2 linked regions of the Cricetulus griseus genome follow. Each later gene encodes a partner of the first gene's protein in a complex. Links are inferred from orthologs where the notes say so. Each region holds a gene or a part of one and is shown on either strand. Other genes may lie near its edges. The genes, in order: Grk1 and Rcvrn.

Region 1 (4,514 bases):
TATAGCTTCCATGTAAATCACTCAGGAGCCTGCCAGCAATGGAGGCCTGAGCTCCTCGGCCAGGCCCTCTAAGGCAGGTGGAATGTGGATTTCAGTATGCTGAGTGGCTCTGCTGGCAAGATGGCATGGTTGAGAACCATGTTGCCTTTGGTCCTGATTGGTGCAAGAATCAGATATTGTCTGTCCAAGGTCACCAGCTGCTAAGTGGCGGGGCTGGGACTAGCACAGGTCACTTGGGGACAGTGAGATATTGTTTACCTCAAATATTTACTTGCCAATCTTCCTGTCACAAGCCCATGCTAGGAGGTGGAGGTGGGGGAGGTGGTTGGCATTCACCAGAAGGTTCCTACAGTCACAACAGGAAACTCTGTCCCCACCTGAAGTACTCTTCTGCTGCATACAGCTTTAGCCTCCTGATTTGGGATTTCATTCATTCTACAGGACTTCTCTTTCTCGTCCCTGCAAGTGCTCCCTCCCCGTGGCTCCTCCTTAAACTGTCAGGAGTACCTACAGACATGACAGTTGTGATCCCCAGGAGATGGTGACATGCCCATTGATTCTACCATTCCCATGTGTGGCCTGGGTGTGATCACTGTCTAAACTGGTTCTGAGTGTGCCCCCAAATGTGTCCCTGATATTTCCAATCTGTCTCAGGTGTACCCACCTGAGTCCCTGTGTCCTAGGTGCATCCCAGGCTTGTGTCTCATGAATCTTCCTGCTTGACAGGGACTCAATGTGGTGGTCTGTGGCTCCCCTGCACCCTGTCTTTGTCCTCTAACCACCTTGTAGCAATTCTTCTTCAAGGAGAAGACTAGTTGAGTACAATCAAATATCCACGATCTCACCTACAGATGGGGAAACTTGTCACTGGGTGAGGTAGCTTCTCTCCTGCTTCTCTCTTAAAGATAAAAATGAAACAGTGTGAAAGACAACCATCTTTGCAGATGGAGGTTGCTCCTGGGACTGCCTGCCCTCTATTGCAGACCCATGTTCCAGAAGGATATAGACAGGTCCTGTGCACCTGCCAGGGCTGGGGAAAGACAGAACTGCTCCTGGGGGCTTCCAGGAGTCTATGGTGTGCCCTTTCCTTGGGAGCACGAAGGCAACACCAAGGGAGAGAGAGCCAAGCTGAACTCTAATCCGATTTGGAGCAGCTTAGAGGATTGTCTTTTTATGGCACCTGCTTGGTCACCCCTAAGGTGTCCTCAGTGACCCCAGGGCTGGATTTAGCTAGATGCTTGTTAGCCCTGGTCTCCCTGGGCTTCTCAGTGCCTCCCCAAGCATCCTGGCCACAGCTGCATGCCTCCCTTGTCCCACAAGGGCAGGAACAGGCCATAGGCCAAGGGCACAGGGTCAGGCCTGCTTTGGCTTCAGGGGCCTTGAGCTTCCCTTCAGCTTATGGGTCCTAACACTTGAAGTGGACACGAGACATCATCAAGATGGATTTTGGGTCCTTGGAGACTGTTGTTGCCAACTCCGCCTTCATCGCTGCCCGTGGCAGCTTTGATGGAAGCAGCACCCCGTCTTCCCGGGACAAGAAGTATCTGGCGAAGCTCCGGTTGCCCCCACTGTCCAAGTGCGAGGGTCTCCGTGAAAACCTCAACCTAGAGTTTGAGAGCCTGTGTTCAGAGCAACCCATTGGCAAGAGGCTCTTTCAACAGTTCCTGAAGACAGATGAGAAGCATGTGCCAGCCCTGGAGCTCTGGAAGGACATTGAGGACTATGACACTGCCGATGATGACCTGCGGCCACAGAAGGCACAGGCCATCCTGGCTGACTACCTGGACCCACAGGCCACACTCTTCTGCAATTTTCTGGAGCAGGGCATGGTGGCAAAAGTGAGGGAAGGGCCAACTGGGAGTCAGGATGGCCTCTTCCAGCCTCTGCTGCAGGCCACACTGGACCACTTGAGCCAGGCCCCCTTCCAGGAGTACCTTGAAAGCCTGTACTTCCTGAGGTTCCTCCAGTGGAAGTGGCTGGAAGCCCAGCCCATAGGCGAAGACTGGTTCTTGGACTTCAGGGTTCTGGGGAAAGGGGGCTTTGGGGAGGTGTCCGCTTGCCAAATGAAGGCGACTGGCAAGATGTATGCCTGCAAGAAGCTCAACAAGAAACGGCTGAAGAAGAGGAAGGGCTACCAGGTAGGGAGGAAGCCCAGCAAGCAGAAGATGCTCTTGGGATGGAGGGATGGTGGGATGCCGGCCACCCACCTGTGGAGCTCTACATAGGCTTTAGCTACTGTGCATGTATCCTGTCATTTGGATGCCCCCTCCACCCCGCCCCAGCTCAGACAGCCATTGGCAGGGCCATTGTCAATCTGCACCACACTCAGGAGAAGTTCATGGGGAGAGCCAGTTGCAGGCAGCTGCTGTCTGGAGAGTGCATCTGGCTATCTAGAAACCTTTCCTCAAGGTGTGGTTCCTGTTGTGATTTCGTACAGGATAAAGTAAGGTGGGACTCTGTCAGTCGAACATCACTTTGGCAGGCACTGTCTACACGAGGCACACAACCCATCTGTGATGCTGGCATGCAGGACTACTCTTCCTGAACACAGGTTTCCAGGGGACAAGAATGGCTGGAGGACATAGGCAGGCTGCCAGTATTTTATTTCCGTCTTTGTTGGCGTCAGTGTCTAGTTAAGGCAGGATCAGTGAAAGCGGCTTATTGCCCAAGGGACACAGCCCTGCCGTACAGTATAGATAATGCTGTGAAACTCTTAGGGATTGACACCAGACCCAGCAGGCCCCTGAGCCCTCAGTGAAAGGTCAAACATTAGGTGCTAGCAGCAGGTAGGGGGTGCCAGACAAATCCAGGTACTTTTAGCAGGGGCCTTGGGGACTGCACTTCATGGCGGACTAATGTTAGTCTTTAAGGAAGGGCTCTATGCTCAGGTATGTGGCACACACCTTTAATCCCAGCACTCAGGAGGCAGAGGCAGGCGGGATCTCTGTTAGCTCAATGGTCTACATAGAGAGTTCCGGGAGAGCCAGGGCTACATAGTGAGACCATGTCTCAAAAATAACAAACAAAAAAACTCCAGTTTTATGGAACTATAATTTGAGTTCAAGGTCACTCACATCTATGTGCAACCCAATACAACACTGAATCTTTTCTGATTTCAGTGATCTGGTGGGACATATACAGAATCACCTTGGCCTACTGTCCTCATCCTTTCCACACTTTAGAATAAAGATGAACGATAAAGCGGGGTCTACCAGAAACTTGGGCTGCACTGGGAGTTAGCTGGGTACAAGCCATGGTGGAGCGAGCATGGTGCAGGGGGAGGGTGGATGCCAAGGCTGAATGAATGAATGAATGAATGAATGAATGAATGAATGAATGAATGCCAGATCTCACATATTGCAAGCCTGCCCTGTGCTGTGGCCAGAATGCAGGCTGTTCTCCACAGTGCATTCCTGAGGACTGAGGGTCACAACTCTGCTTCCAGGGTGCCATGGTTGAGAAGAGGATTCTGGCCAAAGTTCACAGCCCATTCATTGTGTCTCTGGCCTATGCATTTGAGACCAAGACTGACCTCTGTCTGGTAATGACCATCATGAATGGAGGTGACATAAGGTAATGGTATACAAACCTGGGGTTAGTTTCAACTAGGGTACCCAGTTCATGTCCAGTGGGCCCCAGGACTTAGGCTGTATCTGTCACTGCACACTCTTGAGCATGCCCATGATTGTTGGAGACAGATGACAGAGGGCGTGTGGTATTGTGGATGGCTGTGATGGGTTGAGAGGACTAAGAAATAAAAATTGACAATTCCATCAGTGCCCAGTCCTGTAAGAATAGAGATCTGGAAGACCAGCTAGAGCCAACTTGCCTGTTGCCTACATAGGAGAGTGCCACCCCTGATGGTGCCTGGGTTGGCTGAGCCTGATGGTGCTCTGAGGTTGTTTCTGCATCCTTGAGGAGGTCAGATGACTGGCTTTCACTGACTTGGTGACTTCACCAATCTTTACCTCAGTTTCCTGTTGTGTAAAATAGAAACAAATAATGACCAAGTCAGTGTCAGGAGGGTGAAATGGTGGGACCCTGGGTAACTGGCACACAAAGTTAAAATGATGAGATTCTTGGGTACCAGGTACATGGGGCTAACACAGTGAGACCCTGGGGTGCCTTGGGAGTGTAGGGCTCCACTAAAGGGAACTATAACCTGCAATGCCCATGTCTCTCCCTTCCTCTGTTTTTGTTTACATCACTTCTCAAGCAGAGCCATCTGCATTTCCTTCAGATAAGTAATGTAAGGCTAGACAATCAGTCTGTGTGAGAATCCCATAGAAGGAGAAGAGAGCTGCAAGGGATGCTGAGTGCTTCTAGCATTGCAGGTTGTTCTATCCTCCACTCCCGAGGGCCTCTGGTTATCTTCCAGCCCTCTGGTCTGCACCTAACCTCCCTGTAGCATATCTTCTAGCTATGAGTTTTGCTTCCCTGTAAAGTGTTGAGCTGGCATGTATAAGAAAGAATGCAAAAAAGCCGACAAACTTCAGGGTCCTTCAGAGAAGGTA
Region 2 (3,007 bases), on another chromosome or scaffold:
CACACCTCCCTTCCTCCTCCTCAGCCTAGTCTATGATCTTCAGAAACAATATACACAAACTGGGGTAAAATGCAAGCATACAGGTTCTAGAACAAGCTGCCTGTGTTAGAATCAATGCTACCCTGGGTAACTTTGGGCAAGTTTGATGTTTGCAAGTTTGCTTGCTGTCTGTAAAATGGGACTGACAATATCCTCTCTGTAAGGTTCTCTTGAGAATTAATCTAAAAATGCTAACACAAGTGATGTGAGTGTCCCACAGAAGTTAGCCTTTGTGATCCTAGGCCAGCCCTGCTGCAGAACTAGAATGCCTTGCAGACATGGAAGATGACCTTTGTGTTTTGTTTTTTTGTTTTTTGTTTTGGTTTTTCGAGACAGGGTTTCTCTGTGTAGCTTTGGAGTCTATCCTGGCACTCGCTCTGAAGACTAGGCTGGCCTGGAACTCACAGATATCCTCCTGCCTCTGCCTCCCAAGTGCTGGGATTAAAGGCGTGTGCCACCAACGCCCAGTGGAAGATGCCCTTTGATTCTTCTCTCCAGCCTGTGGGAGACAGGGACTGTGCTAATGGCTCCCAAACTCCAACCTCAGGGCTGCTGTGGGATTATTGTTGGGAAGTTTCTATTTTTTTTTCTAAACAAAACTATAGCATCTACTCAGAAGACTCAAATGGTACATGAAAGAGCAAATTTTCCTCCATAGTCACTGTCCTGTACCAAGGTCTCAAAGGTGTTGATGGTGCCTGGGGCCCGCCCTAGGGAATTTTGATTCAGTAGAACCTGTGGGGCTTTGGTAGGCACCTGGACTGTAAACCCCTTACCTTTAGAGGGCACCTGATGCTCCAGGCTGTTTGGGCATCAAGAAAGAGAAATGATGTGGTGGCCCAAATAAAGACCAGGGGCTTCCTTTTCTACACACCCTCTCCAACACTTACCTCTCATCTTTGTTTGAGGTGGGAGTGTTTAGTGTTGTATGCTGAGAATCAAACCTGGGCCTCATAGAGCTTTACACTGAGCCATGTTCCCAGCCCCATCTGACAAGAGACACAGATGAGGCAGGTTTCACAAGAGTAGCTATCCCAACAGGTGGAAGGGATAACTTGTTATGGTTTTGATTTCCATTTACCTAATGATTAACGAAGTTGATGACTTTTCACATACTTGTTGGCCATCCCTATTTTATTTATTTATTTATTTATTTATTTATTTATTTATTTATTTAAAGAGATGTCTGTCTAGTTCCCTTGTCTGTTTTTAATTCAGTTATTTATTGTTTGATTTTGTGTGTGGTTGGTTTTATTGGTTTTGTTTGTTTGAAACAGAGTCTTACTATGTATCTCTGGTTGGCCTGGAGCTCCCTGTGTAGATCAGGCTGGCATCTTTCTCCCAAGTGTTGAGATTAAAGGTGTATACTACTACCCTCAATGCCACTTACTGCTTTAGCACTGAGTAGCAGGTTTTCTTCATATATGTTATATACTAATCCCTAAGTAATCATTATCAAAGGTTTGTAAATATTTTCTCCTACCCCAAGGTAATCTTACTTTGTTGTCTTCTCCAATATGTAGAAACTTCTTAAGTTTTAGTATAATCCCAATAGTTCAAAAATCATTATTACAACCAATGTCACATAGCTTAGCACCCTCTAGGAATTATATAATTTGGGCTAGAAAATTAAGTAATCCAACCCTGGTAGATTTTGGGGTGTGGTGTGAGACATGGATTTCTCAGGACAACCAAGCCCTTACTCCTCTTTGTGACAAGATCTTTCCCTTGGTCTGCTATAGGCTATTTTCAAAATGATCAAGCCTGAGGATGTGAAGCACCTTCCAGATGATGAAAACACTCCAGAAAAGCGGGCTGAGAAGATCTGGACATTCTTTGGAAAGAAAGATGATGGTGAATCCCTTTGTCTTTGTTACCTCCGACTTTACGGTGTCTGCTGTTTCCAGAAGGATTGCCTCTTCTGAGTCACAGTGCTCAGGCAGGACTGGGGGACACTTTTTGTCACCACACTTTATCCAAGCTATCTTCAAAAGTCAGGGGTAGTGGTCTACCAGACGCTTGTCAGTTCAGGCTAGGTCTACTACGACCCTCCAGCTGATGCTAGTAATGGGGGGATCAGCATACTCCTATTACAAAACCTACTCGCTGCCTGGGGATTGGGGGAAGGAAGGAGAACACTTTGTATGCTAGGTTAGCAGTAAACTAGTAATCCTCCTGCCTCAGCTTCATGTGTATTGGAGTGTTGGTTTTGCCAGTCTTTAGCCTAGAACTAATGTAAAGTGTGCAGGCTCACTGGCCATGCATACACAATGACTGGTTTAGGGAAATGCAGCCTTTTATCTCTTCTGGCTGCTTGCTGTCCAGATGTTCCCTGCTCAGTGAGAACAGGAGAAAACAGCACTTCACTCAGCAGAGATCTCAGGAAGTTAGCTTCCATGATCCCAAAATCCCACCAAGAAAGGATCAGATTCAGTTACATTGACGGGCATTTATTGAGAAGACAGCCACCAGGGAGGGACCTAGGGACTGGGAAGATTCATGTCATGAGGACTTGGCCCCAATCCCGGAATCAGTACAGGGATGAAGGACAGGGAGGAAAGACAGGTAAAAAGACCTGGGCTGTGACACTCTAAGACAGTGCTGGCAAAATCATTAAGGTGTCCTCTCTCAGCTTCTTGATGTCCTCTCTCTGCTTAGTGGCTGTCTGGAAGCAGCCTCTGGGGCTTGAAGGAGGGGTGAATTCCAGAATGTGGCAGCTGGAGCTGTTGGTCCAATGGCACACATGGCCATATAGGATACGGTACAAGAATTGGTATCATCATACAGAGAGAGACAGAGGCAGAAACAGAAACAGAAACAGAAACAGAGACCGAGAGACAGAGACAGACTGACTTGATGTCAGACAGGGCCTTCAGATTCATAGCTACATGGAGCTAGGATAATGAAATTCAGTGTAGGGGATGGTAGCCCTACCAAGAGACAGGAAGTGCTAAATAACCCTGAATAG

What was found.
Region 2: the proteins of Grk1 (region 1) and Rcvrn are in contact, whole or in part, in an NMR structure (PDB 2I94), measured with the Bos taurus proteins. The link is inferred for Cricetulus griseus from reciprocal best matches to the Homo sapiens genes GRK1 and RCVRN. Residues at the interface, in NP_776598.1 of Bos taurus: Phe3, Gly4, Leu6, Glu7, Val9, Val10, Ala11, Asn12, Ser13, Ala14, Phe15, Ile16; in NP_776590.1 of Bos taurus: Lys22, Trp31, Ser34, Phe35, Glu38, Cys39, Phe49, Ile52, Tyr53, Lys55, Phe56, Phe57, Tyr86, Leu90, Thr93, Ser94, Phe188, Glu189.

What each region holds. Positions count from the first base shown.
Region 1 is NW_023276807.1:67,387,317-67,391,830, reverse strand, and holds the start of Grk1 (rhodopsin kinase GRK1), read left to right. Parts: upstream 1-1,439; coding exon 1,440-2,138; intron 2,139-3,445; coding exon 3,446-3,573; intron 3,574-4,514. UniProt on the Homo sapiens protein: Retina-specific kinase involved in the signal turnoff via phosphorylation of rhodopsin (RHO), the G protein- coupled receptor that initiates the phototransduction cascade.
Region 2 is NC_048600.1:81,579,970-81,582,976, forward strand, and holds part of Rcvrn (recoverin), read left to right. Parts: intron 1-1,781; coding exon 1,782-1,893; intron 1,894-3,007. UniProt on the Homo sapiens protein: Acts as a calcium sensor and regulates phototransduction of cone and rod photoreceptor cells. Modulates light sensitivity of cone photoreceptor in dark and dim conditions.